2 linked regions of the Oryzias latipes genome follow. The protein of the gene in region 1 binds, or shares a complex with, the protein of each later gene. Links are inferred from orthologs where the notes say so. Each region holds a gene or a part of one and is shown on either strand. Other genes may lie near its edges.

Region 1 (16,120 bases):
TTTTTTTAATTCGTAAAACATCACTTAAATAAATATGTTTGTGAAATAGTTTTGATAAAGAAGAAAAAAAGCTATATTTCTGCATAAATAGTGAAGTTCCTTTCATGAATACTTACTTTATATATGCAATACACGTCATAATACGTGACATTTTTTATAAAGATGTATCTTTTGTTCTTGTTGAGATAGGAGCCGGTTAATTGATGCCTGATTGTATTTGATAGTTTTTGTTGTGACGTATGTTGTATTTTTATTTCATTATGTCTCAAAATGAAGGAAAATTATTATTTACTCTCTATCTTAGACTCACTCCTCTCCTTCTGTTTCTTATCCCGTCTTTCTGTTTCCTCTGCAGGTGGATTCATCAGTTTCAATGGCTCATGGCGCGTCCAGGGCATCCTGGCTATGTCTCGTTCCCTGGGCGATTACCCGCTGAAGAATCTGAACGTGGTCGTTTCTGACCCAGACGTTATGTCCTTTGACCTGGACAAGCTGCAGCCTCAGTTCATGATCCTGGCATCAGACGGCCTCTGGGATACTTTCAGCAATGAGGAGGCAGTTCGCTTCATCAAGGATAGACTAGATGAGCCGCACTTTGGCGCCAAGAGCATTGTTCTCCAGTCTTTCTATCGAGGTTGCCCTGACAACATCACCGTAATGGTGGTGAAGTTTAAAGGCAAAAGTGGTGAAAAAAAGTAGTTCCTCCCGCCCACGGCATGTATATATGATGGTTTGAATTCATTTACGGTGGAAGATTTAAAGCTGCTTTTTGAACAAGAACTATTTATATCGTAGGTATTTACTGCAGATAGCCCTTGAAACCTCACATAAAACACTTTTTCTCTTTCTAATCTTTTACCCTACAAGTGTCACAAACCTGTGAGTGCATCAAACAACTACACTTTTAACTGTGTAAGTGTGCACTGGAACGAGTGGAGGTAAAATAAAGACAGTATTCTCTTAGAAATAAATGTACACAATTCTTTCACTCTAAAGCAAACCGGGACTGAGAGGTTTAAGCTACATTGTTAAATCCTTTTCTGTCAATTTGTACATGTACAGTTGAAACCAGAAGTTTACATACATGGCATAAAAACACACATGCTTTTTTTTTAAATAAAAGGAAACCTTTCCTGTTTAAGGTCAATTACAATGGGCAAAAAAGTTATTTCTATTTGCTGAATGTCAGATTTATGAGAATATCTTTTTTTTAGAAAAGTTTTTATTACTTTTATTAAAGTCAAAAGTTCACATATGCAAGGTTAAAGACTTTAATTTTTGGAGACATTTCCTGTGGGCTGACCATACCAAAATGAAACTGTTTGGCCACAATGACCATCGTTATGTTTGAAGGAAAAAGGGGGAAGCCTGCAGGCCTCGCAACCCCATCCCAACTGTAAAACATGGGGGTGGTAGTAGCATCATGTTGTGGGATTGTTTTGCTGCTGGAGGGACTGGTGCACTTCACGAAATAGATGGCATCATGAGGAAAGAGAATTATGTGGAAAGCAACATCTGAAGACATCAGCCAGAAAGTTGAAGCTTGGGCGCAAATGGATCTTCCAAATGGACAATGACCCGAAGTGGCTTAAAGATAACAAAGTCAATGTTTTGGAGTGGCCATCGCAGAGCCCGGATCTAAACCCTTTTGAACATTTATGGTCAGGGCTGAAAAGGCGTGTAAATGCAAGGTGACCTACAAACTCAGCTCAGTTACACCAGTTCTGTCTGGAGGAATGGGCCACAATTCCTACCAAATCTTGTCAGAAGCTTGTGGAAGAATATCTGAGATGTTTGACCAAAGTACTGCAGTTTAAAGGCAATAGAACCAAATACTAATGGAATGTATGTCAACTTTTGACTTTGATCAAAGTAAAACAAATTAGTTTGAAAACCGTAGTCTCATTATTCTATCATTTAGCAAATTGTAATTGACCTAAAACAGGAAAAGTTTACTTTTATTTCATGTTGTGTGTTCAGTTGTGTGGTTTTATGTTGTGTATGTAAACTTCTGGTTTCAACTATAATATCCCATCATTCATTTTCGTCAGAGGCAGTGGCGACTCTGTTTCCACATTGTGAATCATGTCATTATTTAGCCTTATGTGATCAACGGCAAATATGAGATTTGTTTCTCTGGAGAGCTCATACAAGAATACTTGCATAAAGAAAATCTAATTGTAAGAACAGGTGTTTCTCTCTTTTTGTTAAATTTGAGCTTTTTTACAGGACTGCTAATAATTTCTTCTTTCGAATCTCACTTTATTTAAAACTTTTTAGTTTTTCAAAGCTAGGCTGCTTCACCTAGAAACTCTTTCAAGACCTCTGTTATACGTTTTATTGTTTTATCTAATAACTGAGGCTTACGGGTCTCAAACTCCGTGTCCTGGTTTTCTTGTTTGGGTCAACTCACCTAATTTATGTCAATGTCAAAATCTAAGAGTCCTTGATGTTATGCTCCTTTTTTGTAGGGGTTGATTCTAGGTACGTACCGGTAATTAAGAGCAGAGCGTTAAGATATATTAAGGAATTGCTTGGATTTGTAGCATAAAACTAGTTTGAATAAACATGTTTGTATTTTAAACTTGTTACAATTAAAAAAGCGGAAGTCCTGGCGTGTGTCTCATTAGGAAGAAAGAGTCAGTTTGCACCATTTCCTAAATCGTAAAGGGATTTATTTCATTTTAAAATCTTAATGATGTATTTTATGTTAAATGATATAGAAAACACCCCTTTTTAGTTTTTGTATCACTCAAGCAGTGTTGTGGCCTTTCAATGAAATTACATTGAGTTTGAGAACCTGCTGTATGTAGTTTGTAGAAGCTTAAATTACATTATTTTCCAATATGAAGAAAGTCATAAGGTAGTCATTTAAAAAACAAACTTAATACACAATTTATAATTTTCTTTTTTTTTTAACAGATTACTTGTTTAAAGGCTAGGAAAGTGACCACCCAGAACAACATTTTAAAAATTTTGTTATGCATTTTTTAAATAAAATATGTTTTATATTTTTAACATTAGAAGTTCTTCAAACTAACTTTTTTAAATTAATTTACTAATTAATTTACTTAAATGAAATGATCCATTCTGGTTGATTACATTTTTCTTTGGACAAAAACAATCCATTTTAATTTTTACAGTACATTAAAAACTGCATTTGTGTTTTATTTTGTCTTATTCTGGTGAAATTACATGATGTTGCCTTATTTTTAATTTTTTTTCTGCCAAAACTATTTTGTGAGTTTTCGGTGAAATGCATTTGATCGTGCAGGGCAGTGCAGTGGAGGATGCACGCCCCATATCTTGTACCTTCATTCAGATATTATGTGTTGAGTGACTGTTTCATGAGGTATGAAACATAAAGATGAATGTAAATACCGTCATCACGTGACTACCAGCTCCACCCAAACATGCAGGTTATTACAGCTGTCCCTGATCCTAAGCTAACTGCAGAGATGTAAATACATGAATTCCAGATGAAACTGTCTGTGCTTTTTTTTCAGGATCATGTCATGATGTACCTCACTGAATGTTTCTTGCCTTTGTTATTTGTTTTGATGACTTTAATACACTGCTAAAAGTTTAATAAATTGAACATTTTAAATTTGAAGACCACAAAATAACTGTTATGTGTGTGTGTGGGGGGGGGTTATTCAAAGGATTCAAAGGGGTTTATTGTCATATGTACAGTAAGGAAATGAATTTCCCTGTACAATGAGATCCTTTCTTTGCTGTTCGCTCTGAATGCCATAAGGTTAAAGGTTAAACAAAAGATAGGATAGGATATTTACAGGATATCTGAAACATTCACACCAGATATAAAATATAACTATGCAGTACAGTGTACAAATCAGCTGTTTTGCACATTCAGCTGAGAATAACTGTTCAAAAGAGACTTTCATGAGCTAAACAGTGTGGTACGCATGGATGTTGTTAAATATTAAGATGTAAGAATTGAAAAAATAAACAATGAGTATGCGCAAAGGGGCTGTTTGTTGTTCCAGACTCCTGTCAGCTGTTAAGGAGTCTGATGGCAGAGGGAAAGAACGAGTTCCTGAGTCCTGTAGTCCTGCACTTCACACTCGTGTACCTCCGTCCCGAGGGGAGGAGAGTGCACAGATCTCGTTGCAGTTGGGTGGGGTCCTTGATGATGGAGGAAGTTCTCCTGTGGATCCTGCGTTTGTAGATGCTCTGAAGCGAGGGCAAAGGCGTCCTGGTGATCTTAGTCGCAGTCTTTACCACTCTCTGCAGGCATTTGCAGTCCATGGCAGTAGAGCTGCCGTACCACACTGTGATGCAGCTGGTCAAGATGGACTGTAGAAGTTGCTGAGGATCTTTGTGGACATGCCGAACTTCCTTAGCCTCCTCAGGATGTACAGCCGCTTATGAGCTTTCTTCATCAGCTGTGTGGTGTTAACTGTCCAGGTGAGGTCCTGGCTGGGGTGGACCCCCAGGTATTTAAAGCTGCTCACCCTCTCCACTTCCAGACCCCGGATAAGCAGCAGCTGATGAGGGTTCCTCTACTTCCTCATGTCCACTATCATTTCCTATGTCTTGTCTGTGTTGAGGGTGAGGTTGTTGTCCTTACACCATGTCACCAAAGTGGCCACCTCTCTCTTGGAGGCTGCTTCGTACACTAGTAAATTTCTTATCAGCTTACAGAATTGTTTTCAAAAATTGAACACATCACAAATTACGTGTACAAACTAAAAGTAAAATAATGTATTGAATGTTAATAGTTGATTTACTGATTGTGCAACTTTCTTCCAATATTTATCATCTATAAAAGTGTGCCAGTCCTTGGATCAAACCACCTTTCTCCATCAGCTGGGGACACCGAAGCAAAGCTGTGAGGTTAGTGCTGATAGACATTCAGCCAGGAGGGAATTTGATCTTCCCATTGTTTCAACTGAACTTCCTGTTTGCGGCAGTGTTGGAGGACTTTGGGCACGTGGGACGTGATTCTACATTCTGTTCTCTGGTTGTGAGCTGCATGTATGCACTGTCACTGTGGGTAAAAATAGCTTTCCTGAAAGCCGTGACAGCATGAATTTGGTCACAGAGGGGAGGGGTCACATGGTCTTCTTAAGGCACCAGTCTCAATATAAGCTCACAAAGCACAGACACACAAGCCTTCATACAAACTCAAGAGGATAAAGAAACTTTTCTGAAAGGGAACTTGTGCTCCACTGGAACATGGGTACGCGTGGATCCAAACCCAAGAAACAAGCGCAGGTCTTGATGCTGGGTCTGGACGGCTCAGGGAAGACAACACTGCTCTACAAACTGAAATACAACGAGAGCGTGGTAACTGTACGGACGGTGGGTTTTAATGTGGAAACCCTGGAAACCGACAGGAGCAGTCCAGAACTGACAGTGTGGGATGTTGGGGGTCAGAGGAAGATGAGGCCCCACTGGAAGCATTACTATCCTGACACCGCTGGCTTGATGTTTGTGGTGGACAGCTGGGATGAGAAGAGGCAGGATGAGGCCTGCAAGGAACTCCATCGGGTATTTCAGTTCATGTCTAACCTTGATCAGAAAAAAAATACAAGTGTTCCTATGTATATATGCATTTTTATTGTTTCTGAAGCAGTGAATGCAATACTAAAAAACAATTATTCCGAAACAAGTTAAAAAAAAAAATCTACAAACTATTCATCAAAAAAAGGGAACAAAATAAAAATCTTGATTTTGTTGATTTTAATAATTTTATTATTATTCTTTTTACCTTTTAGGTTCTGAGACACAAAAGTCTTAAAGAAGTTCCTCTTGTAATTCTGGCCAACAAACAGGATCTCCCTGGTTGCTGGAGTCCAGAAGCCCTCAGCCTGAAACTGGACCTGAGAAGGGTGTGTGCTGGAAGGGCGTGGTTCATTCAGCCCTGCTCAGCCGTCACTGGGATGGGGCTTGAGGAGGGTTTCAGGAGAATGGTGTATTTGATGAAGACTCCACTGAGGCAGACTCAAGAGCACATCAAGTTAACGATGAAAGCAAAAGGCTTGAAGTTCACATCAGCAAAAAAAGTCTTTTTTTGTTGCAGCTGATATCTCTTTTGTTCATGCTGGATTTACTTTTGTCTTCTTATGCTGCGTATTTGCAGACAGCAAAGCGGATGCATCTATGAGCTCAAAGAGGTTAGGGAGAAGGGCGGCTTCCCAGAAATCATGGAACAAGCAGAAGATCTGCTGGGAATAAGAAAATAAGAAACCAAGAGCATTAAGGGAAAGCTTTTGGGTTTTGAGGATATACATTTATATATAGATATATAAATAGATATCTATATATCTATCTATCTATATATATAGATAGATAGATATATGATATATATATTTTTATTCAAAATGTGTTTGTCTTCTGAAACAAAATGATATTGATTTAATGACTTGTACCAAATCAGTGAGAACTTAACCCTTGTGCTTTCCTGTGGGGTCCAGATGACCCGATCCTTACATTGACGTGTTCTTCCTACCATGACAAAGGTGGATTAAGGTGAATAGGATTTCATGTAATCCATGGACACCAGTGAAATCATTGAAGAAAAAATGTTCAGCGCACTGTCTTGTGGGGTCTAGATGACCCAACTCCCAATGTTAAAGTGACTCAGATAGCACAAAGGTTACAGCAGATTTATTAGTTCCCAAATGAATAAAGTAAATCTCTCATGTTGATGTTTTTTTTAATATTGGAACTTCAAATAAATGTAATTTTTATGAAGATTTTGGGTTTAAGGTGTTAAATATAAATATTCATAAAATATTATGGAAAAGTATAGTCATTTCCATGATTCCATTGAAAACATTGTCCAGATTAAAATAGTTTAAAACATCCGTGCCCCGCAGAATTTGGACAGATTTCACCACAGTATTCAGATTTACTAAAAGTTTGTTTTCGTGGTTTTAATGAGGTGGAACCCAAATTTATGTAAAAATAAATAAATATTAGAAATCAATTAAACAGTACACTATATTCAATTTTTAGATCTAATTATCCAAATGAATAGACTTTTCCATGATGCTCTATTTTTAAAATGGTATTCAATAAAAATCGTGATACTACTGATAATTTTGTAGTTGTAATATCGAATATAATGGCAACATGGTGTGAAACTGGGAATTACATTTTTAGCATTGTATTGTAGAGAAAAAAGACAGTTCTCCGATCTAGAATGCCTTACTTCTTAATACTATGCCAAAATTGAGCAATCCTATTCCCTTTTTTTATTCAGATTTTGACTGCCTTATGAGAAATAGCATAAACTAATTCATTATATATATATATATATATATATATATATATATATATATATATATATATATATATATATATATATATATATATATATATATATATATATATATATATTATATAATATAGTATAATAGTACATAGTATAATATATAATATATATATATCTAATATATATATAATTTTATTATAATAAAAAGAATTTAGAATTTTACAATTCCCTAATGAAAACTCCTTAAGAAATGATGCGACATGGATAGGGTTTTAGTGAAATGACATATTTAAGTTTAGGTGATCACGAATCAAACGTCTGCCTTCCTAAACATGAGCAGACGTGAGTCGGTATAATGCGGTGTCTTCTGCACACAGACGTGAGCGGTGAAACCAATGAGAGTGAGGGGGATTTCCCCACCCTTCCCTTACGCCAGAGCGAGGCTGCCCTCTACCACCGGCATTCCCAGTATGCACCGCGGACCGAGCAGCAAAAAATAGTCCACTAACGAAAGACTGCGAAAAGGGAACCAGAAACAGATAGCTTACCGGCTAAAACTCTGTCCAGTAATATTTAACGTAATCAGAACTACTAACATGGCCGACAACGAGAAACTGGACAACCAGCGACTAAAGAATTTCAAGAACAAGGGCCGAGATTTGGAGGTAAAAGTTGCGAAGATCGGTGTCCTCGCTTTCGTCTGCACAGCCGCCGCGCTCAGCCTTGCCCCTCGGCTCCGTTGTGACGTCGTTTCTAATTTACACCACGGGCAACTTTGCTGCCAGAAACTGGCGAGGGCCTTCAGAAATCAGTGTTTATTGGAGGCTGGAATCGTTGGGTCAATTTCGAACTGGTTTCGTTTTATCCCGAAACCGTGTTGGGTGTAAAACATGTCAGAAAAGCCTCCGCTGGATCAGCTCTGCTAGCCACCAGCTAGCAAGGCCTCCGGGAACATGCTAACTCCACTGATGCATATCATCCCCCAGTTCGGTCTCGCTCGGTCAGAAATGTTAACAGCTTGCATACAATTATTTACAAAGTACTTTTACGTTATCTTCTGAGAATGTGGTGTTAAGTTAAGCTAAAACAACGACAGATGTTCGTACTTCTAACATTGCAGTTAGCCCAACTGCGTGCTAGGTTAGCGCGGCGGTGCTGTTGGCTGCAGTTCCACCCATCCCCCGTCTTTATAATCAAAAACAATGGCGGAAACAAGTAAGCTTCTAACATGACCACTTATATTAGGCTCAAGTCCACACCAATAGTAATATAGTTCTATTTTATGCGTTAATAGGACGTATTCTCAGGAGAGCAGTCTCCCCTTAACACGTTTACTACATGATTCATAGATCAAAGCTGGACGTTGGTTCATCATGTCGGATCAATAAGTTACCAGGTGATTTACAGTCAGGTCAACGCGTAGCTGTTAATGCATTCCAGCTAGTATTGATATCGGTTTCAGGTGGGGTTGCAGACGCAGGAAACCACGCATCCTGTTTGAGAAGGTACATATATGTTGCGAGGGGGGCGTCGATGATTGTTACGTTAATTATTCGACTTTCAACTCGAGAACCGCGCGTGAAATTCGTTTCTCCAATGATAAACTTTAAGCATCAACACCAAGGTTCAATACTTAATGTAAATAACTTCTAATGCATGCAAAGGTTCACGAGGAATTGAGTCAACAAACATTGTCAATTTGCATTTACTTTGCCTCCACTGTGTGCATCTGACGTAGAATTGTTTCAGAGGGCGGCGGCCACGTGGGACAGTAAAGCTGCACCTTTACCGTGAATAGAAACACATCTAATGTCACATCATGCACTGCAACCTGTAGACATATCCGCTTCTGAAATAAATTTGGCTTGATGTAATTACTAAGCTGGTAGCTGAGGGAGGAAGTGCGTGCGATTTTCAAGATGTTTTTAGTGGGTTACCAGATCACTTCTCTCATTCATAGTTCTATTTTAAGTCATCTCTGTCATATGACATTAATATGTTTACTATTTTTGGTCAGTGTTATCACTAATAAAACAACTGACTGTGTGGACACAATTGAGACATAACTGGTCATAGTGAGGATCCTAACAAACTATGGTTTTAATATTTGCAACAGGTTTTGCTTGACTAGAAATCGAATAAAGTAATGGGTAGATGAATAATCTTGTATAGGAAAACCCTAAAAGTGATCCTTAAGGTCTTCTTCCAGTCATGTTGTTTTGTTGTAACTATTAACCTGCTTTTTCTTTTTTATTGAAAAAGCTTGCTATACTACCATTTCCTAAAAATGCAGTTCCCATTTTTGCCATTTTACTTTTTTTTCTTTTTGCATATGATACAAATATGTCAAAAAAGAACAATGAAACCTGAAAATGTAAAAATGATGTATCGGTCAGGTACTGTAGTTCTTAAAGCTGAGTTACATTTAGTCAGACTTGTGATACTCATTTGTAGTTGCAGACCTCTGCTTTATAGATGCTGTAGACTTAATGCCCAGACGACCTGCATCATCAATACCCGAATATACACAGTACCCTGATATTCTCATTTATTTCTCTAAATTTGTTTGGAAGGTTGAAATTTCCTAATTTAACTAAATTTAATATTTTCCTTGCAGACGATGAGAAGACAAAGGACTGAGGTTGTCGTGGAACTTCGAAAGGTAAATAAACTCTTTACTTAAGCCATTATTTAATTAATATTGCAGAATGCTCTCAGAATTGAATATTCAGCTATATTTTATATATACTTTGCAGTAACATAAATGGATGATTAGTGAAGTGAGCTCACTAACTTTTTCATTACAGAACAAAAGGGACGAGCATCTGCTGAAGAGGAGAAATGTTCCCCACGAGGACCTCTGTGAGGACTCTGATCTTGATGGAGATTTCAGATCAGTGAGTTTATCTTTCAAATATTCCTTTTTTACACCATTATTCAGAAAAACCATATATTGCATGTTTGAATTGCAATACTACTATTAGCAACAGGGATGACAGCTTGTCAGATATGGTATAGACTGAATTTGTACTGAGATTTTGTACATTTTTGGAAAGTCTTCAGATGCTGAGCAGGTTAGGTTTAGACTTTTGCATTTAGGATGCTGCTTTATTTTGTACTGACTAGGTGGGGCAAGATTGTTTCAAAGTGTGCAGTTTGTCTTGCTATGTACTCATTTTTCTTGATCAATGTGCACAAAAGCTTCAGTTGTTGCTCAAGATACTTACAGGCACAAAGAATGAAGCATTTCTAGATATTTTAGAGGCGCTATAAAGACAATAGATGGGTGACAGATGAAAATCTAGAAAATGTCTTAAAGCTGAACTAAGTGTGTTTGATCTGGATTCAGATGACAGAAAATTTAGACTGTTGGATAAAACATGCATTGAAGTGTTCAGTCTAGAGAAAAAAATCTGGTTCCTTTTAACAGCCAGGTGTATAAAGCTCAATTCACAGGGTGATACTTGTATCATAGTGCATCAGCAATGACAAGACGATCTCTGAATGGCATCTGGAGTTACTTGGCAGCTAAACTAGTTCTACAATTCTTTGTGTGCATACTTATAAGAAATCGATTTATTTTTATGAGTATTCACAAACAGTGAAATACAAATGTGTGTGTTGGTGATTTGTAATGGCCATTCAGTTTGTAAAAGATTCAGTGTAAATGCTTAATAGACCGGAGTTTGACTGTTTAAAAAAACACATTCCAACTGTAAAGGATTTCATTTGTTTTCTTGCCTGAGGAGCTTCTGTTGTCGTCACCAGTTCCAACCAGGCCATTTTGAGTGCTCGTTTTCAAACCTACATAATGATATCTGGTATATAGCACAGTTTTATTATAGATATAAAAGATACAACTGGCAGTTTAATAATTTCCCACAACCATCAAATGGAGTCACAAATATAAACTTTCTTTTTACCCAATAATTTTATTTTATTTTGTTATTTATCTCCAAATCGACTGCTAATTGTCCTCAGTGTTGACAATTTGGACTAAATCGAAGGAATCTGGTGGGTTTTTTTCTTTTTCTCTGCCATCAGCCAGGCTAACTCCCAATTAGGTTCCTATTCAGAAACAGTCTGAACTACTTATGGAGTTATCATGTTAAGTTGCCAGAAGGCACATTGCCATGCTAAATACTGGCCTCGTGTCTTAACCTCCTGACTGATTCTCAACACATTTTCGGGTTAAGTAACCAAGCTCATTTTCTGCTCTGGTTAGTTTGTTTTTGAATCATAAGACTATTTGAGCAAGGTTTCTGTGTTTTAAGAGCTTTATGCACCAAATATGAAACATAATTCAAATGCAATAACTCCAGGAAACTTTCTTTTGCAGCAAAACACCTCTCTTGAAGCAATAGTACAAGTAAGTCACTATTTAATTTCTCCTTTGGAATTTATGGTCTTGCTAACGGAATTTTGTTGTCCTTATTACCAGTTTTATAAAGCACGTATTTATTCAGTTTCACTGACTAATCATCTTGTTTCCTTTGATATATAGAATGCCACTAGTGACAACCAGGGTGTCCAGCTGAGTGCTGTTCAGGCTGCTAGGTAAACACACTTTAGTTTGTAGTTTTTGTTTGTACTTTAACCAAAACAAAAGTCTTAGTATTTTTTGCTCTGTGGAGCAAATGGTGGACTCATTTGAAAACATCCATAGTTGCAATATACGTCATTGTCCTAAAGACTTGATATTTCATTGCATCAATGCTGTAATACACCTAATGCTGCATTTCTGCTGTAGAAAAAGGCATTTTGTTTCCACAACCTACATGTGGCTCACAGATGTGTTTACAAGCCTCTGCAGTAGCAAACCAATGCAGAGGGCCTTTTGCTTGCACTTGATTTCCTTTTGCCAAAGTATGTTGCTGATGAAATTCCAAGGCAGAATATTTTTCTCTTCCTGACTTACAGCATGTCACCCTCTTGATTAATGGACGTTATATTTAATGCAAGTGCGTCATGCTAGCCTCTAGAAATTGTGTAGTGCAGCAAAACTACTTAAAAATAATGAGCAATGTTTATTCTTCAACAGTTCTGTGTATTTGTGAATCCTTTGTAGTCACTTTTAAAGTTAATACTTGGGTTTGAGTTTTAGCTGTGGAGACAGATGGCAATATCTGATGCTAGGACTAACATATGTGTCATTACATTGTGTCCATAGTTTATTATTAGTTGGTCTGGAACAATCAAATTTCCTTTAAGGCTGATTTCATGTTATAATTTTTTTTATAGGAAGTTGTTGTCCAGTGACCGTAATCCTCCCATAGATGACCTCATTAAGTCTGGGATCCTGCCTATACTGGTCCACTGCCTGGACAGAGATGACAAGTAAGCAAGCTGTAGTTCTGTTTGTTTGCATTAGAATATAACTGTTTTTAGGCATTTGTGCTGATTCAAAGTAACATGTTTTAATGGTCTAGCTTGGTGCATTAAGTTATTCCAATAAGTGAGGTTTAGCCCACTCTGCATTTTAATCATATTGCTGTTATGTAAATGAAGCCTTTTTTTCTCCTCAGTACCTTGCAGTAATGGTGACTCATCGCCATGCTCTTACTGTAATTTACCCCTGCCCTCTCCCACTCACTTGTGCAGTCACAATTCTGATAAATCCTGGTGTCTTATTTGTGTTTTTTAGTCCATCTCTCCAGTTTGAAGCTGCCTGGGCTTTAACCAACATAGCATCTGGCACCTCAGAGCAGACCCAGGCTGTGGTTCAGTCCAGTAAGTGCCACTGTTTTTAAAGACGCAATACTTATTTAGTTTAGTCAGATCTTTTGTTTGTTTAAAATGAATTTTCTTGGTAGATACACAGGCTGAGTATAAATAGCTGTTTTTTGTTGAATGACCACTTCTTTTGAGATGTAGATGCTCTGATAAGAAAGTTTGAGCCTCTTCTTGAGTTGCACATTTGTTGGAGCCTTTGCTCACATTTTCGTTCCTGGTGTTTTGTTCAGATGCTGTTCCGCTGTTCTTGAGGCTGCTCCACTCTCCTCACCAGAATGTCTGTGAACAGGCTGTCTGGGCCCTGGGTAATATCATCGGTGAGTAACCGCCTAATCTGATCTGACGAGTGTCTAATACGAGTGTTTAATCCAAATTTCCCATGCTTTGTTAACCCGTTCTGTGCAGGGGATGGTCCTCAGTGCCGAGACTATGTGATCAGCCTTGGTGTGGTTAAGCCCCTGCTGTCATTCATCAGCCCCTCCATCCCCATTACCTTCCTCCGCAATGTCACCTGGGTCATGGTCAACCTTTGCCGTCACAAGGACCCTCCACCACCCATGGAAACAATCCAGGAGGTAAGCACCCACAAAGAGATGAAGCGTAATGGGATCTGTGTGTCATGGTGTTATTTTAGAGTCGCAATTTTTATATCCAACTATTGCTGAAAACATGTTTCTTTTTAACAGCCCATACAGACCGCAACAATTAGAAATAGATCTGTTCTTTTAAAAAGGGAGATGGTTGAGTAAGATTAAAATGACAGGTTTTAGCTGTACCAGTTTGTGCGTTGAAGAAGCCATCCTTTTTTCTCCATATCACTTCACAGGTGATGAGATGTTGAGCTGTTCCATTACAATGTAGTTCTAACAGTAAAGTTCCTCTCCGATCATCGTTTGAGCTATTGTAAAAGCATTCCCAGTGGTATTTTAATTATTATGATGCCATTGTTAGAAAAAAACAACAACACAGTGTTGTTTTGTAGGACATAGTTTCTCCAGAGCAGCAGTTAGAAATTTGGCTCTTAGCTGTGGGTGGGACTGTTGTGGGGGGGCAACCCCACCCCCCTTTCCCTACCCGTTGCTGAGAGCTCTTTGTTTACATGCTCTCCTGCTAGCTTACAGCCCCTCACAACCCCAACCTAATATTAGTGTTGCAATAAAAATGGTGAGTAATATTGGAGCCGTCCAGCCGTACAGTTTTGAGCCAGATGTCAGCTCAGACGAGGAAAACTGACACACATGCATCTAGAAATGAGTGCATCAGAATGGAGCAGAGGCATCAGAATGGAGCAGAGCAGGGATTTAATGGTCCGTCCAGCATATTTTCTAAGTCACAAATATGCTTTTTCAAAAAGCCTTTTTTTAAGCTACTTCTGATTCACAACAATTTCATCAGAGGGCATCTTAAACCTCTTAAAATGTAGTTGTAACGTTAGATAAGCTAATTCTTTTCTAGGAATTCTGGTACATCGCCTGTACATCCTGGGGGAGGATCCCTCCTTCATGTGGGCTCCCCTGAGGTTTTTTCTTTTTTTCGGAATCAGTTTAGTTTTTACTTACTGCGAAGGTCTATGTGTAGGGATGCCCAGTTTAGTTTAGTTTAGCCATTACCTATTGAATTGTATGACTTTATGTTCTTAATGATTCATGTTTATTATACAATTGCTGGTATGAGGCCCATTGAGATGACTATTGTTGTAATATTGGGCTATATAAATAAAATTGAATTGAATTAAATGTGTAGACGAACAAACCCCTCCCTCACAGAGATGACACGCGCTGTCATAGTGCACAAAAGCTCCGGTAAACTTGTGGTTAAACCTTTACACTGTAGTTTGAATCAGGCTTGTCGACGATTGTCTGCAGCTGAATATCTGCAGAAAAGTCTTTTTAAAATGATCAACTGTAGAATCATCAGATCATACTGCAAAAGACCAAAGACATCTGGACTTGCAAACCTATTTGAACATGCCTCAAGGTTACTTCTGTAATGAACACCGTTATCTATGTTAACTCCCTATTCACGGCTGGATTATTAGAGAATTCAGTTGTATCTTCATCATTTAATCATAATTGATCACTGAAAAGAAGAAAGGAAATATGAATAACTACATTCAGCTGTTTTTGGTCTTCCTTTGCCATAAGGTAATTGTAGGTGGGAGTCTTCTTTTCTCTCAATTCCAGCCCTTCTAGATTGTGTCCTGAATTTGAGAATGAGCGTTGCAAAGGGATTACGCTTTGATGTCTCATCCGTCTGAACCAGTGAAAGCAGAGAAAATGGTGTTTAAAGGATGAGTAGGGTGTTGAAACTGCAGGCCGTAGTACAGGATAAGAATAGATTTTTCTGGAGATGTGAGGACTTTAAATATAATCTGTTATTCACTGTCTTTATCCATCCCTACACTTTGTAATGTGTTTTTATTTTCTCAGATCCTGCCAGCTCTCTGTGTGCTGATTCATCACACTGATGTCAGTGTAAGTATAACAGGCTGTGCTGTTCTGTCCTCACTGGTTTGGAGGTGACAGCATTTGCCTAAACATGGTTTTAAAAAACGTTTCCTTTATTTCTTTTCTTTACCGCTTCTAGATCTTGGTGGACACCGTGTGGGCTTTGTCTTACCTGACTGATGCTGGAAATGAGCAGATCCAAATGGTCATCGACTCAGGCATTGTCCCTCATCTGGTACCTCTACTGAGTCACCAAGAGGTCAAAGTTCAGGTGGGAAGAAGAGACTGTCGTTGCTGCTGTCATATATTACTTATTCATTTGGGAAGGTGTCTTTGCTTTTAAACAAAGACTCGGCTTTACTCTGGCTTTTTACACCACCACTAAAAAACTTAACACCAACTTTCCAACTTTTATTAAAAAACACAAAACACTGCGTAGTTAAAACTGCTATCTTATAAACAAACTATAATGGTGTTTGTGTAATTTTGTCTTTAAAATTGTCACATTTCTTCTGAGGATGATCACTTGTGTTATTGAGCACTGCTGCTGCTTTCACATCTAAACTTGTGCAGTTTTCTAGAATTGATGAGTTCATGTTGATGGTTGTGTCATTTCCACCTCATCCAGACTGCTGCCCTCAGGGCCGTTGGGAACATAGTGACCGGCACAGACGAGCAGACGCAGGTAGTGCTCAAC
Region 2 (16,161 bases), on another chromosome or scaffold:
TTGGTGCTGCAGACGGCTGTGTCTCAGTCCATGTGTCTGCAGCTTTCAGGCAGCTCGCTCTTATATAGGGCAGCACCTCAGCAGGCTCATATTTCCATAAACGGGCTCACCTTTGCACCTGGGCTCATCTTTCCTTTCCGTTTCAACGTTTGGATTGAGCTCAGAACGGATCTACAGCGTCTGCAGCCGACTCCACGGAGATCTTGGTGTTCTGAAAGTTTCTCGCTGTGAACAGAATGAAAACAGCTGCATCTGCATGTTCACACACAAAAGCTGCAGCAGAGCTTGCAGATAAAGGAAAGCCTCTTTTCATTTTTTAATTGCGCAATCATCATTTGAAGAGACCATAAAGTCAGATCTTTGGGCTTTATGGAGCTTCGTTTAGAGGCTGTAACTGGAAATCATCCACACAGAAGCCGTGACTTTTCATTTGCTTTGCACCCTCAATCGTCATTTATGTCACCAGATAGAAAACTAAAAGCTGTGCAGATTGAGCTGCTGCTCCTTGGAAAAAATAACTAACAATCAAGCTTTTGTTCTAAATGATGACAAACGTTTCAGGAGCCGAGCCAAACTGCTTCAGGCATCGGCTCGACGGGAAAAAGGTGACAGAATTTGGATTTATTATTCAGAAATGACTTCTTCTGGAATGTTCTGAGGGAGGCCTATTGAAATGTGCTACTTTTAACACAGAAAAGTGTTTCTGAGGCTTCGGCTGCACAAACACTGTGAAGGGGTTTCTTCACCGGGTAGACGGGTCACCAAACAGAAAAGGAGGAGCTGCAGGTCATGGAAGGATGGTGTGTTTGTGCAGAAGATGGAAGACGGGATTGAAGGACTTGGAAGAAGAGCTTTGAAAGAAAAAAGAGGAGTGAGGAGAAGATGAGATCGTTCCATGTTTGCAGACATTTCAGAATGTCAACTAGACCCCAACTCCATCTGGATGAAGATCCTCTGCTGGACTATTTAAACATGTAGTTGTAGAGTTAGATAAGCCAATTCTCTCTATGAGTTCTGGTACATGGCCTGTCCGTCCTGGGGGAGGATCCCTCCTTCATGTGGATACCCCTGAGGTTTTTTCTGTTCTTTTAGGAGTTTTTCCATATCTAGAAGGAGGGTCTAAGATCAGGGACGCCAGTTTAGTTTAACAATCAGCTGTGGTATTTCAGAACTGATATTAGGTTTTGTACATTTTGTGAAGCCTGTTGAGACCACTGTGATGTGAAAGTGGGTCATATGCAGTACAGACCAAAAGTTTGGGAAGGCGTGTCCAAACTTTTGGTCTGTACAGTAAATAAAACTGAATTGAAATCAGTTGTAAAGATGAGGATGGATAGGGTCAGACAGCAGAGGGTGGAGGTGTGAGGATGACTCTGATGGTGAGGAAGATGAAGGGAGCAGAGCAGAGGACCAAAAGGTGGAGTCCTATGAGAGTTTTAGGGTGGAGGTGAAACTGACTTTGGGAGATTCTTTCAGATGACTGAACATTTGTGAGCAACATGGTTACATTCAGAGGACGAGAACCACAGATTAGTTTTGAAGATCTTTCTTGAGATGATCAGAGAAGGTCAGAAGGAGTTTATTGGGTCTTTGTAGATCTGGAGAACAGCTACAACGGGATCCAGGGACAAGCTGTGGTTTGGATGGGGAAGTCTGGAGAAGCAGAAGAGAACGTTAAAGTTGTTCAGCACATTAATGAGAGCTGGAAGACAGCGGTGAGATGTTGTGACAGTTGAAGGTGGAGGTGGGACCACACCAACAACCAGCTTTGAGCTCCTTCTTGTTTGCTGTGGCGATGGAAAGACCGACAGATAAGCCTAGACAGGAATCTCTGTGGATCATTAAGTTTGCAGATGACACCGTGATCTGTAGTGAGAGCAGTGGAGGAACATCCAGTGGCTCGGATGTAAAAACGGGAGGCTGAGCAGGAGGTAGCAGTGATGAAGAGGCTGAGGTTCTCTCAGGATGGATCATTGAATCCATCAGAGGATCATGGTAGATGTTCTGGAGATCCATGCAGGGAAGCAGGTGGAGATGTTTGGACACGATAAGAGGATGATGTTGGTAAAAAGATGTTGAGGTTGAAGCTACCAGGAAAGAGGAGGTTCATGGATGTAGAGGAGGATGTGTGAGGAGCATGCAGAGGAGGATGGAGGTGGACGGTGCCTCCTAAAGGGAGCAGCTAAAGACAAACCCCCAACACAGGCTGCATTTCCAGATTCAGGAGATGCAGTTCTTCCTGTTTGGTCCTGACATCAGCGTGATGTGTTGTTTTTAGAGGAGTTCCAGCTCCCTGGGATCTCACCTTCTTCGAGGACATTTGATAGTGCGGCTCACATTTGTGTTTTTGTTAACACAATCTGCCAGGTTGCAGTGAAGCAGCACGTTAAAGTTTTTTCGCTTTCAGTGCCGTCGCGGATCAGAGACAAACTGGTTGCAAATTCAAAACACTGTTCATGTTCTCTCAGAGGATTGTGGGAATGCATTACAAACGGCTGACAGACTGGGTTTGACATGATTTATTCACCTATTGCTTCAGCTTCATACAACTCTGGTCTTGTTTTGTTTGCGACTTTAACCACAGCCACAATAAATAGAAAATTTATTGGCAAGACAAACTGCATCTTCTTGTGACGAATAGAAATTAAAACTATCGGTGAAAATCCCCATTCTTGGCCTGCATTTCCAAAAAATCCCAAAGGATTAATCGCACTTTCATTTGTCAGAATAGTTGATGGTCCGCCGCCGCATGAAGATGCATTGTGTGGCCGTCAGCGCTCCTTTCAGACAGAATGAAGTGGAGTTTTATCGTTTAATGAGTGTTTGAAAGAAGGAGCCATTCATCAGACTGTTTTTGGAACAATAAGGAGTAAACTAAACAAGTAAAGAGCTGCAGACTGAATGAAGGCGCTACTTTTCATCACATTGGTGATTCATCACTGTGACCTGTACTCATGAACTGGACGGCCTTCTTTGGCCACACAGAGATGTATATATATATATATATACCAGGGACTCATTGGGGAGGCTGCATGGTGGTAGAGTGGTTATCACCCTCAGCGAGGAGGCCCTGGTTCAAATCCTGGCTGAGTCATTTCTGAGAGGAGTTTGCATTATCTTCTCTACCTGATGCTGTTCTGAAGAAGCTGAAAATGAAACCAGAACATGTTGTTATTTGGAATCTGTTTGAATTGTTTTAAAGGTTGTGTTGTAATCTGCCTCTTAGCCAGGACTCCCTTCAAAAACCGATCTGCAGATCTCAGATGCTTTCCTGGTTAAATAACGGGTAAATAAATTAGGATTTGCAGACTCCCATGCGGACACAGCAAACTTTGTTTCATCATAAAATAATGAGGAGATCCGTCCTTACAGCCCCACTCAGATGAAAATTGTGTTTTTGGTGTTTGAAAATGTTCTTGAAGCATGTTTATGGTGACGGAGGAAGAATATAGAGACTATGAATAATAAACTGCATTTCTGAGTTTTTCTTTATTCAAATCGTTGTGGATCTGGAGCAGACGAAAAAATGCAGTTTGAAAAATATCCTATTTGTCACGTAGAAAATACAGTGGGTGGAGCCACAGTCTCCCTGCCCCGCCCCTTTCTGATCCTCCACCTGCAGACCAACAGATCCATGAACGTCTTTGTTTTCCTGGTCCGAGCTGGAATCGACGGATGGATCTGATGTTGCTGCTGTTTTTGTTGCACCGCTGATGTTAGGATGGGGGTGTGGGGGGCTGTAAGCTAGCAGGAGAACATGTAAACAAAGAGATGATGGGAAGTCAGGGAAGGCTTACTCCGCTCCAACAGTCCTGCCCACAACTCAGAGGTGAATTTGAATAAACTCCTGCCGCTCTGCAGAAACTATGTCCTAGAGAACGACACAGTTTTTTTTTAATTTTTGCTAAAAACGTCAGAATCACAATTAAAAGGCCACTGGGAACAATTTTCTTTTGTTGCTTGGAAATGTCATCTAAAATATTCATGCTTCTTTGTCACAAACCCTTTTTATGACCTCCTAATCCATATTTTTACATCAATAAACACAAATCCCAGATGATTTCACCCTAATTCACCTGTTTTTAATCCCATGATTTGTCTTTGTTTTCTGCTGTCCTGCACATCCTCAGACACACAGATGGCTTTTTATTGTGTAACAGAATGAATTAGTGAGAGCACTTTAAAAAAAATGTTTTATCTCAGGAACATAATCTGTTCCTGAGCAGCTTCACCTGCATCAAGGTGAACTACCTTTCTAACACTACAGGCCTTAAGTCAAACCTGAAGTCACCCCACTAAGCCACTTATCCGGCATTGTGCAACAGATCCCTGAGGTCCAATATCCTCCAAAATTCAATTAATGCCCCTGATCCATTTGCTACATCCCCTTATTCCTGGGGGTTTGGGGGGCCAGGAGCTTATTTGAACAGATACTGAGCGAGGGCCCCTCCCCGGCCGGCTGTCCATTAATCACACAGCAACATGTCCACACAGCTGAACAAACACACGGCGAGGTTAGGAGAGGGTCCTGCCACACGGGGGTCTGGACGAAGCGTCTCCTGGAGGGATGATGGAAGACGGTTCTTCACGCGTGTTCCTGTAGGTTTTGAACTTTCTCCTTCATGTGGACTGTAGTTACCGGGGATGAGTCCGGTCTGGCAGCTGACCTCTCCATAGACCTCAGAACCAAACGGGAAGATTCTGTTGATTCCCAAGGAAAAGATGCTATCAAACACAGTGGGGGGGGGGGGGGGGGGGTGTTGTTTGTTTCCACTGAAATCCCCCCATAAGTTTCATCTTCAGGTATCTGTTTCAATACTGTGAGAAACAGAAAGAGGAGCTCAGAGTTCACCGAGCTTCTGGGAATGTCATGCTGGAATGTCTGCTTTCCGAGTGGTGGAAGGTTAGAGAGCTAATGCTCCTGGCTCGCCCCCAAAATGACTGTGTACGTTATGTAACGAGGATGTCAAAGGCCGGTGGCTCCGCTAATGGAAGGCAGAAAAAGAGAAACTGTTACGGTCTGAAGTACAAGCCAAGCTTTGCTCTGCAGCACACATCACAAACACATGCAGCAGCTTGTCTGACTGCAGCCTGGGGAACTTCATGAATTCATCTGTCAGGACATTTCTGTTAACATGCTTTGGTGCAGACAAACACAAAAAACTCTGCATCAAGCCTTTTCTTCACCAGAAGTCGGCCATCAGACTGAAGTGCTTTTCTTCTGCTTTTTACTGTTTTGTCTTAATTTATGCAGGATTTTAGAGTGTTGTTAATGTCTGATGGAGGTGTTTTGACAGAAAGAAAGATGAGAGCGTGTGAGAAGTGGAGAAAAGAGGCTCAGACATGAGCCACACCACTGTTTCAATGGAAGTATCACAAAACAACAGAGGGCTTTGAGTAAAGGTACTATGTAAACATTTATGTAAAAACAATGAATTCACGTTTTATTCTCTACTTTTATGAATGGTTTTAGGTCAGCAGTGGGGTCACGTGGACTTAACCCTCCTGGATCTACCTAAAGTGAGGTTGTCCTCTAGTGGCATAAAACAGGTATGTCATGCAGATTTGAAATACATTTGGGTGAATCTGACATCAAAACTGGGAAACATTCGTGTAAATCTACTAAACTCCATATGCTGATGAACTGAACATCATTGTAGCTCGATGACAACTTTAGGAAATCACACTGTTATTTACACAATCAGGGAAAGAGACTCTTCTGAAAGGAGACGGTATATGAAATGTGTATCAAAGCATTTTATGGGCTTTTTAAAAATGTCTTTCATAGAGTCCTCCCCCCTCAGTGAACCACAGTCAGATCCAAACTGTTTCAGTAACTTCACTGCAGAAGTGCTGCCATGTTATTTCATTTTTCTTCTGTACAGTTTTGGATTTGCTTCTTTGTACTTTTTTTCTGTAAATGTTTTTCAGATTATTATATCTTGTAATAAATCTTATTTTCCGTCATATTTTTTGCACATGTATATGCTGTGTGAATGATGAAACACAAAGAAAAAGACAGGAAACAGCACGGAGTCCCAAATGCAGCATCGTGTTCCTCATGTGGTTCAAATGAACAACTACAAATAGGAACAGACACCAAAACACCTGAACCAGGAACTCCCTCCAAAAGTCTGGATAATTTAACTCAAATTGAAAAACCAGGTTCAGAAAACTTTATTAACAGAAATGTTCAAAACAAAGTGGATTGTTGTGTTTAGTCTCTGCTGGTATTTGTAGGTCATTGATGTTTTTTGTATTTGCTGCTCTAGGATAGATAGACATAATTTATTCCAGACTCATGGTCCAATCAATAAAAAGGAGTTCACAGACCCCTACATTAAAAAGGCACCTTGTCAAGAATACACAAGTTGAGGTACAGTATATGAAAAATTACAACAGTTGATAGTCTAACTGAGCTCGCAGACATTTCTTTTCCATTTTGGCCCTGCGGTTCTTTCTGGGACATGTCTTCCTCTCGCAGGGCCCCTGCGGTGTGGCCCTCGGTCAGAGGCCCCGGAGAGCCGGCTGCAGGCTGAGGCCCTGCTCCGCCGCGCGGCTCGTCTTATCTGCGCGGTGGGTTGTGGGTGTGTGAGCGTCGAAGTAAAATGGCGGACTTGGCAAACGAAGGTGAGTAGGTAGCAGAAACGGGGAAAAAACGCGCCTCCGCTGCGGATTTTCAGTTTGCACACAGGTGCTGCGCGAGTAGGGCGAGCGGCGAGGAGGCGCTCTGTCGCCCGCAAATGTTGATCGTCGGAGAAATGTCGCCCAGGAACGTTTTGAAAAGCGAAACGATAGCAAACATGCTAACAATGCTAACGCCTGGGCTGAGGCTAATTCCTGGATTGGCTGTTTGTCACTAGCCGGCTTACCCCCCCACTGCGAGCATTTGGCTATTAATAGCCACTTTCTATTGGCATTTGTGGACCCGCGTATCTAACCTGCCGGATGCTTTGTCCCAAACGATCCTCCACATTAAGTACGTGACCGTAAGCACAGGTTCTGACATCACCGGTCTGCCCGGTACAGAGCGCGCAGAAGGACGTCGTTGTGTCTGGCTGATCGGTCAATTTGCGGAATCGAGAAGCGCTTATTTAGGCGGGTAGAGTAAGAAAGCCCCCCCACCCCCATTATGCTATGAGTTGTTAACAGTTTGCGGAAGAATGGCCGTTAATTTCACGTAAATGCATTTGTGGTTTTCGTGAGTCTACGGTGTGTCTACAGTTTTAGCGGCTCTGGTGGCGGGAGTTGTAAAGGAGAGATGACTCAAGCAGGATGAAGCGAATTAGCAAGCTAACCATAGCATGTAAGCTACTACATATGCACAGCTTTGTAGCAGTGGCGGCGTCTATGTGCTGGAAAGGGTCAGATGGTTAAAAGTACTAGTTGTTAGCATCCGCCGGCAGCGTCTTCTTCACGAATGACGGAAAATAGACGCCGCCGCCGTTCGTTATCGTATTTTCCCCGATGAGCTGTAAATGTTTAGGAAGGGGATTTACAACACTTGTGTGACCCACATTGGCAGGCTTTGGGTTTAGAACAGTTTCCTCGTTAACGTCATGAACCGCGGGGCTGTCATGAATGTGCGGGATGCCCAGTCCCGCGCAGCCCGCTGGACAGCCAGGCGGCCTGTCACGCATGCTTTCCCGGACAAAGCTCGCGGCGGGGACGCTACACCTGCTCCGAGTATAATGGGCCTGGTTCGGACGGAAACCTTTGTCTGGTGTCGCTGAACGTGAGGAAAGTGTTCCGAAAATCCCCCAAAGTTTGCGTCTGTCATACACATTTACATTAAGATGGTTGTTTTTAATTGTTTTCCCATATTTCATCCCGAGCTTCATGATCTGGACCCCCATAGGGTTGAATGTTCTTACATTTAGTCAAACTGGGAGTTTATTTCTGTATTTGTCATGAAATGTTGGTGGTTATTTTTCCAAACATCTTCACAAACCCTCCTATTTGTTGTTCTCTTGGTCCAAACTTCTGAAATTCCTGACTGACTTTATATCTGCTTATTAATATTCTGCTCATCTTGTAATGAATGTTGAGTCAACAATTGGTTGATCTTAATGTTCACTGGCTGTCGCCTGGGAACCACTTTTTAATTTATTGTAGGTAATTTAAACGTTAGATTTCAGTCACAGCGGCTGGTTCAGGTCCTTGGTGCTTGGATGACCAGCCTACCTCTCTTCTTGACAGACAAGCCTGCCATTGCACCTCCTGTGTTTGTTTTCCAAAAAGATAAAGCTCAGAAGGTACGTTTCTTTATGTTGGATGTGTTGATGTCATATTTTATTCTTTGTGATTTTGTTTTGTTTGGAACAATGCACACCGATGGACGAGCACATACAGATGGACCACATGTGATAGAGTTAAAACTATCTGAACAAAATAAAACCCAAATGATCATGAAAGTTATTTAATCCATAAAGATTCAAGAACAAACACAAAATGTGGATTTCTCTTACTGGTTTGTTTGCTATTTATTTTTACCCATTTAAATATGTTGTTGCTCTCTTTGACAGCGATCTGCAGAAGGCTCGAGTGCAGAGGATGGAGAAGGTTAAGAAGATTTCTCAAATAAACGTCTGCATTTACTGTGTGTCTCTATAACTTGATTGCTGATCCTTTTCTGGCTACAACTTTCAGATTCAGATAAAGATGAGGGAAGTTATTGTCCTCCTGTGAAAAGGGAAAGAACCTCGTCATTCCCGCCCCCACATTCTGGTAAGGACATTTTGTAAATAAGCATGGCCTTTTCTTTTTCTGGTTTTCACATTATGCATGGATTTGTATGCTGACGGCGGTGTCTGCTGCTTTGCAGTTCCCAAGAACAATGTATTCATGCCCTCAAGTTTCTGCCAGTCGCCCACTGGGAATTCAGACTCTGAGCCAGGTGAGAAACGCAGGCCTTCAGAAGGTCCACTTTTCTCTTCTCTCCTGAATAAATACTCTTTAGCATAGCCCAGCCTAAGAAAACACTTATATATCCACGTAATGGTAACACTTTCTTGGTTCAAGTGTAATATGTAACAATATCTGCTTTGAGAGTCGTGGTTATCTGCAGTGTTTGTGTTGAGTTTGGTGAAAGGCTGGCATGTCTGCTCTCTTTACCTTAAAGCTGTCAATATTTCCTTAAGTAATGGATCTGATGTCATTACTGATGGATGATTGTAACGTAATGCTGATGCGGAGTTCCCTCGTTTGTCATTACAGATGCGTTCTAAAACGAATCAATTCAATTTTATTTCTATGGCCCAAAATCACAACAATGGGCTTTGTACCGGTAATTGGAAAGTAAACATAAAACCAAAAGGATCATGAATGCATAGATTTGTATAGGAAATTTCTAAACTGAACTAACTAAACGGACTAAAATAAACTAAACTAAGCATCCCTGACCTTAGACCCTCCTTCTCTGTAAAGAAAAACTTCTAAAAATAAACGGATTCTGGAAAAAAGGAGAAACCTCAGGGGTGTCCACATGAAGGAGGGATCCTCCTTCATGTGGAATTAGCTTATCTAACTCTACAACTACATGTTTAAATTGTCCAGCAATCAGTAATGAACAAAATCCACAAAGTAGGATTATTCTATATGTTTTAAGGCAGTAAAACTCCTCACTACACACTATAGACTTTTCTCAGACAGACATTCTCACACATTTCTCTCTTGTTTAAACTCAAAGTTCAAACCTTCACAGATGAATACGAACAGTTTTAAAGAATAAAAACACAGAAGTGATCATGATTGAAGATTTATTTTTATGCAGCAAACTGCACGGATTCTGAACAGAAAACACCTCACCGAGATTGATTGACATGGTCTACAGCCAATCGTGGCGCAGAAAAAATAAATAAATAAAATTACACAGAAAAAAAATCTGTTAGGCGAGAAAATGTAATGTAATTCTTTTTGACAACTCATTCATTTGTTGATATTAGGGGTGGGTATCGACGAGTCTGGCGATGCGTATCGCGATACATGTGAGACTTGTTCTCATCTGGAGCCCTCTAAAAATCACCACAACCTGCGTTTTTATATGGCAACAACGTGGCACAGAGGTTCGGTTCGGTACCCATCCCAGACGCTTAAGGACGGTCATCAATAATTAAATAAATGTCGTCTGGACAGCATTTTAAATCGATACAAAAATCGCAATATATCGCCAAATTGATTTTCCCTACATCCCCAGTTGATATGAACAGAGAATATTTAAAAGCCAACAGGCTTGATATTTAACCTAAGGATGAGTAATTTGTAGAACAAGACTGTAGTTTAGGAGGTTTTCCATGCATGAACAGAACAGACGTCTGCCTGCAGAAGAGTCTGTGCTTTTGGTAAAATCCAACATTATTCATGTCACATTTCACTGCTTTAAAAACAAAAGTACAGAGAAAAAACACACCAACAAGATCACGTGATTGAATGATTTACATCAACAGATCAGACACACTGATCAGCACCAATTCCTCCTGTAAATCGTTTTTTTTACAGCTCTGGGGAGCTTCTTTCTAAACGTTGTTGGATTTGTGTGTTTGCACCGTCAAACTGCCCGGTAGGATGAGGAACCGGAGTAAAATCGGGTCATTTGGGAGTTGGATGTAGGCCAAATTTTTAAAGCTGAATAAACAGCAGGATGGTATTTATTGGACGGCGGCAGATCAAATGTGACCACATAAAAGGGAAACGCAGCATTTACCACATTTCTGTGTTTTGCAAAGTACATTATGTTTGTTGCTCCCACAAAAGTGTTGAGTACAAACCACTTTGGGGTCGTTATCTGCCCGTGTCCTGCCAGCTGAATGTACACTCCACGTTAACCTGATGGAGCGTTATTGACCACCGACCTGTACCAGGCCTGACTGTTTTTCCTTTGCTGTGGCGCTCTCTGCTTCGCCACAGATTAGAGCAGGTCATGCAAGCTAATAAAGCCAGAGAGTTGGCAAGACAAAAGTAGAAATAGATCCGACGCCAGAGAGGCTGCCATGCCATTGCACAAGAACTGGATTGCTACACAACTCATCGGCCTCTCTTGAGGTTGCTGTGGTAACTGGACCTGTGGTTGGGGAAGAACATGTCTATTATATGTTACTGTGCTATTCTCCACTAGTTTTTCTCCTGATTTGTTTTCTTCTCTCATGCTGTCTCACCAGAAGAGAAACCTGTGGGATTCCGCTTAAAGCCACCGACTCTAATACACGGACAAGCCCCCAGTTCAGGTAACCTCATGCTCTACATGTGTTTACTAGCATAGAAAGTACTTTGACTTCCAACTTACAAACGTCACACAGATCCTGCAAAAAGGGGGAGGGGCTAGGTTATGTATTTATTGAACTTAGACATCCCAAACATCCCAATCTCTGTTATAGGCGTCCCAAGTCAGAAACCCAAGGAACAGCAACGCAGTGTCCTCCGCCCCGCCGTTCTCCAAGCTCCACCCTCCAAATCACATATAGAGTCAAGTGAGTACATTTTACACTTTGACTGCATTAAACAGTAAAATCCCTTCTAGCCTACACTCAGTGTTCAGGTGAAGCTCTGCACTGTATTTCTGAGGGGAGTTTGAGAATGTGCAGCATATAGAGCTTGTCCGTAGTAGATAAAGAAAATCTTATTCATAAATTAATGATAACCGCTGATAGTCAGGCCTTTTGTTCAAATAAAATATACAAGGAATTTAAAAATGAGTTTATCCTCACAACCTGTGACCTGTGACACTCGCGTGTTATGACAGTGCTTTAGAAGTCAGCTTAAGAGTGAAGACTCAAGAAAAAAACATCTTCTAATTATTAATGAATGGCTTTCAGGTTACTGAACATTTCATGTAGGCTCTATTAAAAAATGTCCTGTCGTTAACTTAATCATTCAAATATTTCCCCAAATCGTCACGTTTCATTAAGTTTTTATTCAAGTGTCGGTAAAGAATAGATTGGTGCCGTGTTAAATCAAATATTTTCTAAGTATTTGGCTATCTACTACATCTGTAAAGGTCATAAGTAAAATGTCTCTTAGTGGAAAAACCAGAAACTTTTCTAAAAAGTAGTGAAAGATGGTTAAGATGTTCTCAAAGTTGCAGAAAGTCATGCTAAAGGATTTCAGTCTCTGCAGAAACTTCATTCATTGATGGTCAGACTCTGTGAAAACGACGGTGGTCATTTTAACATTCCTTCTACGGTTTTAGATTCCAGTTGTGGAACCAATGGCGTGAAAAAGACATCAGATGGAGCGTCTGTGACTCCGTCGCTCTTCTTGAATAACAAAGATCATTCACCCCCATCGGCCAAGTCACTGGTGAGACATGACTGCTGTTCAGTTTAGTCTGGGTCTCTTCCTCTGGGACAGTCTCTGTTAAAATGTGCATAAATGCTGACTAACCCCCCCCACAAATCAGGTGCTCAATGGGGGGCGCTGTTGTCCAAAGCTCGCTCTGACCACACCCAGAAAAATCGTAAAAGAGAAAAGCAGCTACGATGCATCGGAAACAGATGACACCATAACCATGAACGAAGGACGTGTTTATGTTTTTACAAAATGTCTTTAATCATGAAACAAAAAGTAACTTTTACAGATTTGGAATGACAGTATTAGATTATCGGGGGAGTTACGTTCTAAAAGAACCAGCAGTAGGAGAAATCTGTGAAGAAGAGATGTTTTAAGGCTGTAAATCTACACACTTTTCTCTCATTTAAACTCTCAAACTACAGAGTAAAAAAAGGTCCAGGATTAGAGAATGAAAACAAAGATCTGATCCCGATGGAAAATGTCTGTAAATGTAACAAAGTGGACGCATTCTGCACTGGAGACACGACCATTGACAAGGTCTAAAGCCAATCAGGATGCAGAACACAGCGCCCTGTAAAAAAACAAACGTAAAGTTTCAGTGAAAATAAAACCGCTCCACGGGGAGACGGTTTAATTTGTTTTTTTCCCCTTCCTGCTTCTCCCTTTAGGGGGCGCCCTCTCTGCATCCTCCTCTCTCTAGCCTTTGCCCTCGTTTCCTCCTTCTTGCACCTCCTGGTTGGTCCACCTGGACCTGAATTCCAGCCTCCAGGGTGGCAGCTGAGCATGAATTCAGCCTGAAGAGCGTGATTTAAAAAGTAATATAGAGTCATCCATGGAAGGCTTTAGAGCTAAAACCTGCAGAGCCGTCTTCCTTAAGGGGGTTCACTCCTCAGCTGGTGGGACTCCTCCACTTTCACTGCAGTTTTTTGCAAATGCTGTTCAGTTCTGACTTCTTTCCTCACAATAACAAACCTGGAAATACTGGAACACTGGACTCGTGTTAACGAGCTAAAACCCCTTTTCTGTCATCTAATGTTCCTAAATGTGGAGTCGAACAGAATCTGTTTTCTGCTCCGATCTTTATTAGCTTTATATTGGGCTCATTTATATGAAAACATGCTGATTTCCTCCAGTGTCCTTGAGCCAAGTCAGGCCCTGTTGGACTGATGGGGCCATCAGAAGAAGACAGTCAGGAAACCTTGGCGTCTTTGTGGAAGTAGAGCATCTAAGATGTTAGCTTCATACAGCATGACCTTCATGTGATCATGAATTTCAGTTTCAGCGCTAAATCATTCATGCATAACTTAAGAATCAACCAGGAATCCTACAGACTGAGGAAATAAATGAAGACGAATGCGTGTTTGCAGCTGTCCAAGGAGGCAGATGTTTGTTTATCTGGACTTTTTCTTGTCATCCAAATGATTGGAGCATTCAGGACTAATGTTTGCTTTCTAAACCATCAGTAGTCTTAAAAAAAAGGATAATTTCTGAAAAATGTTGGTACATTTTCTGACTGTGATGAAGATCCTGAGAGGAGGATGAGTTTGTGGAACCAGTGCTTTGTGGTTCTGGGGTGACAGCAGGATGGAGTTAATGATGGTAGATTTGAGAAGAACTGCCATTGGGTCCATTCTGGCAGAACCACACCTGCACTTGAACTGGGTTCTGAAATGAAAACTGAGACTGTTTGGTTTTAAGAGACTCTGAACAGAAATGAATCCTGATGCTTTTTCTGTTTTTAGAAACCTGAAAATCAGGAAGATGGAGAGAGTGGCAGCAAAGATGAAGACGGGAGAGAAAACGAGAAATCTGTAGCTCTATCGTTTGTGTTTGGTCAGAATATCAAAGACAGAGCAAAGGTGGGCTGTTTGTCTTTCACCTGTAAACCTATGGGACACATTGATGTTGACATACATGCGTGTGGGTTGTTTATTTTAGATTTCCCTCTGAATATTGGCATGTATGACACACATGAATGTGTCCGTTTGTGTGAATAAATCCCTAATGTTTCTTCTTCATCCAACAGTTGGACAACAGCAGCACAGAAGAAAACTCAAAGGATAGTTTGCTACCGGACTGTCAGTCAGAGAGCACAAATTATTTCTTACAGTACATCTCCACCCCAAGGTGAGGAGGTCTAACTGTTTTTATGATTCTTTTATTTGAAACTCTAACCGGCGTGTTTTCATTCCCACTTCAGTTCAAAAAATGCCTCAAACAGTGGAGAGAGTGGAGCCAAGTTTGTGTTTGGGCAGAATATGTCTGAACGGGTTCTGGTGAGTGTTGCTCCGCAGAAAAACTGCGCTTTGCCTCAGAAGAAACCCGTGTGATGATGGCTGTTGTGTTTCCAGAGTCCTCCTAAAGGAGAGGCATCCAGTGAGGAAAGTAAAGATGTTTGTGCTGCTCCTGCTTCAGAGTCTCCCTCACAGGAAACAGCCACAGACAAAGGTAGGAAAAGCCTCCGCTGTCTGAAAAGATGCTGCATGTATGACTTCATCCCCGTCACGGGCCTGACGGTTCTGAGGTCATGTGACTGACCACCACCACACGAACACATGTCAATTACAGGATCCTTACCGATCACCAGAACTGTAGGGCCAGTGTTGACGTTCTTCCAACTACCGTTAACGCCATCGTTAGCATGAATCAGCTGATTCATGCTAACGATGGCAAAGCATCTTATCTTGATGTCGCTGGCGGCGACTCCAGTGTTTAGAGGATTCACAGGATTTTAGTTTTTCCTAAGTTGGTCGTCTTCCATCATCCTTGGATCTGTTTTCAAAGTGGTCTTTTCATCGGGAACATGCAGTTTTTAGCTAAAATCTAAAAACTCAGATCGATTTTCTAGGACATCGTTTCTGCAGGGCGGAGTTGTGGGCGGGAAAGTTGGTGCGGAGCAACCCTGTACCCCCCCCTTCCCTGTGTCTGTGGCTGAGAGCTCTTTGTTTACAGCCCCTCACACCCCCAGTCTCATTAGCGGTGCAACAAAAACAGTGGCAATACTGTAAAAAGTGGATGCATCAGAAAGGGGCGGAGCTGGGAGCTTGTGGCCCCGCCCAGCGTATTTTCTGCTTCACATGCATTTTTTTTTCATATGCGCCTGTTTCACAACGATTTACAGAAATACTGAGAAATGCAGTTTTAATCTTGTCTTTATTTCTACCATCAGAAAAATGCTACGAGAACACATACATTTTTCATTGGTGTGGATCTAGAAAGATGCTTTCATGTCCGTCTTTGATCTGAAGTTAAACTCTTGTTGACCTTCAGATGAGGCTGAACGCCCTCCTGTGTGTGTAGTCAACAGTGTGTCCGAGTCCCTGGAGGAGTCTGCAGCAGCTTACACCAAAGCCACAGCCAAGAAGTGCGTCTTAGAGAAAGTCGACGTGAAAACTGGAGAGGAGTCAGAAAGCAACGTCTTGCAGGTGAGAAGCGCTCTGGGGTGGAAGCCCGACTGGACTGCAGACCCTGATGCAGGTTTTGTTTGTTTGCCTTTGCTGCAGATGCAATGCAAGTTGTACGTTTTTGAGAAGAAAGCTCAGTCGTGGATAGAGAGAGGTCGAGGGCTGCTGAGACTCAACGACATGGCCTCCACAGAAGATGGAGCCCTACAGTCCCGCCTAGGTAAACCTCTGGCAGAAGTCAAGGGAGCTACTTCCAGAGGGGGTTCGGACTTTACCAACAAATTCTGACTCTTGTTAGTAAAAATATATAAATCCAAAAAATGCAAAGACAAAATAATGTAAAAAATGTCTAACATTAGCTCCACTGAAGTAGTAGTGTTCCAAACATTCATTCCCACCAAATAACTGTCATAACATATTTCAAAGCTGAGACCCTTTTTGAGACCTTCAGCGTAAAAGTTTTGAATGAAAA

The links.
Region 2: the proteins of kpna4 (region 1) and ranbp3 are in contact, whole or in part, in a crystal structure (PDB 5XZX), measured with the Homo sapiens proteins. The link is inferred for Oryzias latipes from reciprocal best matches to the Homo sapiens genes KPNA4 and RANBP3. Residues at the interface, in NP_002259.1 of Homo sapiens: Arg96, Leu99, Ser100, Asp102, Arg103, Pro105, Phe133, Trp137, Thr140, Asn141, Ala143, Ser144, Gly145, Thr146, Ser147, Thr150, Glu175, Gln176, Trp179, Gly182, Asn183, Gly186, Asp187, Asn219, Trp222, Val225, Asn226, Arg229, Asp261, Trp264; in NP_015561.1 of Homo sapiens: Asn114, Tyr115, Cys116, Pro117, Pro118, Val119, Lys120, Arg121, Glu122, Arg123, Thr124, Ser125, Leu127.

Annotation. Positions count from the first base shown.
Region 1 is NC_019871.2:13,516,909-13,533,028, reverse strand, and holds the start of kpna4 (importin subunit alpha-3), read left to right. Parts: upstream 1-7,677; 5' UTR 7,678-7,839; coding exon 7,840-7,908; intron 7,909-9,860; coding exon 9,861-9,905; intron 9,906-10,050; coding exon 10,051-10,140; intron 10,141-11,582; coding exon 11,583-11,612; intron 11,613-11,747; coding exon 11,748-11,800; intron 11,801-12,484; coding exon 12,485-12,580; intron 12,581-12,887; coding exon 12,888-12,973; intron 12,974-13,206; coding exon 13,207-13,293; intron 13,294-13,381; coding exon 13,382-13,551; intron 13,552-15,405; coding exon 15,406-15,450; intron 15,451-15,562; coding exon 15,563-15,694; intron 15,695-16,051; coding exon 16,052-16,120. Other genes in the region: ppm1l (protein phosphatase 1L), read left to right, coding at 356-699; arl14 (ADP-ribosylation factor-like protein 14), read left to right, coding at 5,200-5,514, 5,742-6,050. UniProt on the Homo sapiens protein: Functions in nuclear protein import as an adapter protein for nuclear receptor KPNB1. Binds specifically and directly to substrates containing either a simple or bipartite NLS motif.
Region 2 is NC_019875.2:30,536,668-30,552,828, forward strand, and holds the start of ranbp3 (ran-binding protein 3), read left to right. Parts: upstream 1-6,689; 5' UTR 6,690-6,948; coding exon 6,949-6,979; intron 6,980-7,039; exon of another isoform or gene 7,040-7,275; coding exon of another isoform or gene 7,276-7,306; intron 7,307-8,199; coding exon 8,200-8,255; intron 8,256-8,525; coding exon 8,526-8,562; intron 8,563-8,649; coding exon 8,650-8,727; intron 8,728-8,824; coding exon 8,825-8,896; intron 8,897-11,156; coding exon 11,157-11,222; intron 11,223-11,372; coding exon 11,373-11,465; intron 11,466-12,184; coding exon 12,185-12,294; intron 12,295-14,027; coding exon 14,028-14,144; intron 14,145-14,311; coding exon 14,312-14,412; intron 14,413-14,485; coding exon 14,486-14,561; intron 14,562-14,636; coding exon 14,637-14,733; intron 14,734-15,555; coding exon 15,556-15,710; intron 15,711-15,788; coding exon 15,789-15,909; intron 15,910-16,161. UniProt on the Homo sapiens protein: Acts as a cofactor for XPO1/CRM1-mediated nuclear export, perhaps as export complex scaffolding protein. Bound to XPO1/CRM1, stabilizes the XPO1/CRM1-cargo interaction. In the absence of Ran-bound GTP prevents binding of XPO1/CRM1 to the nuclear pore complex.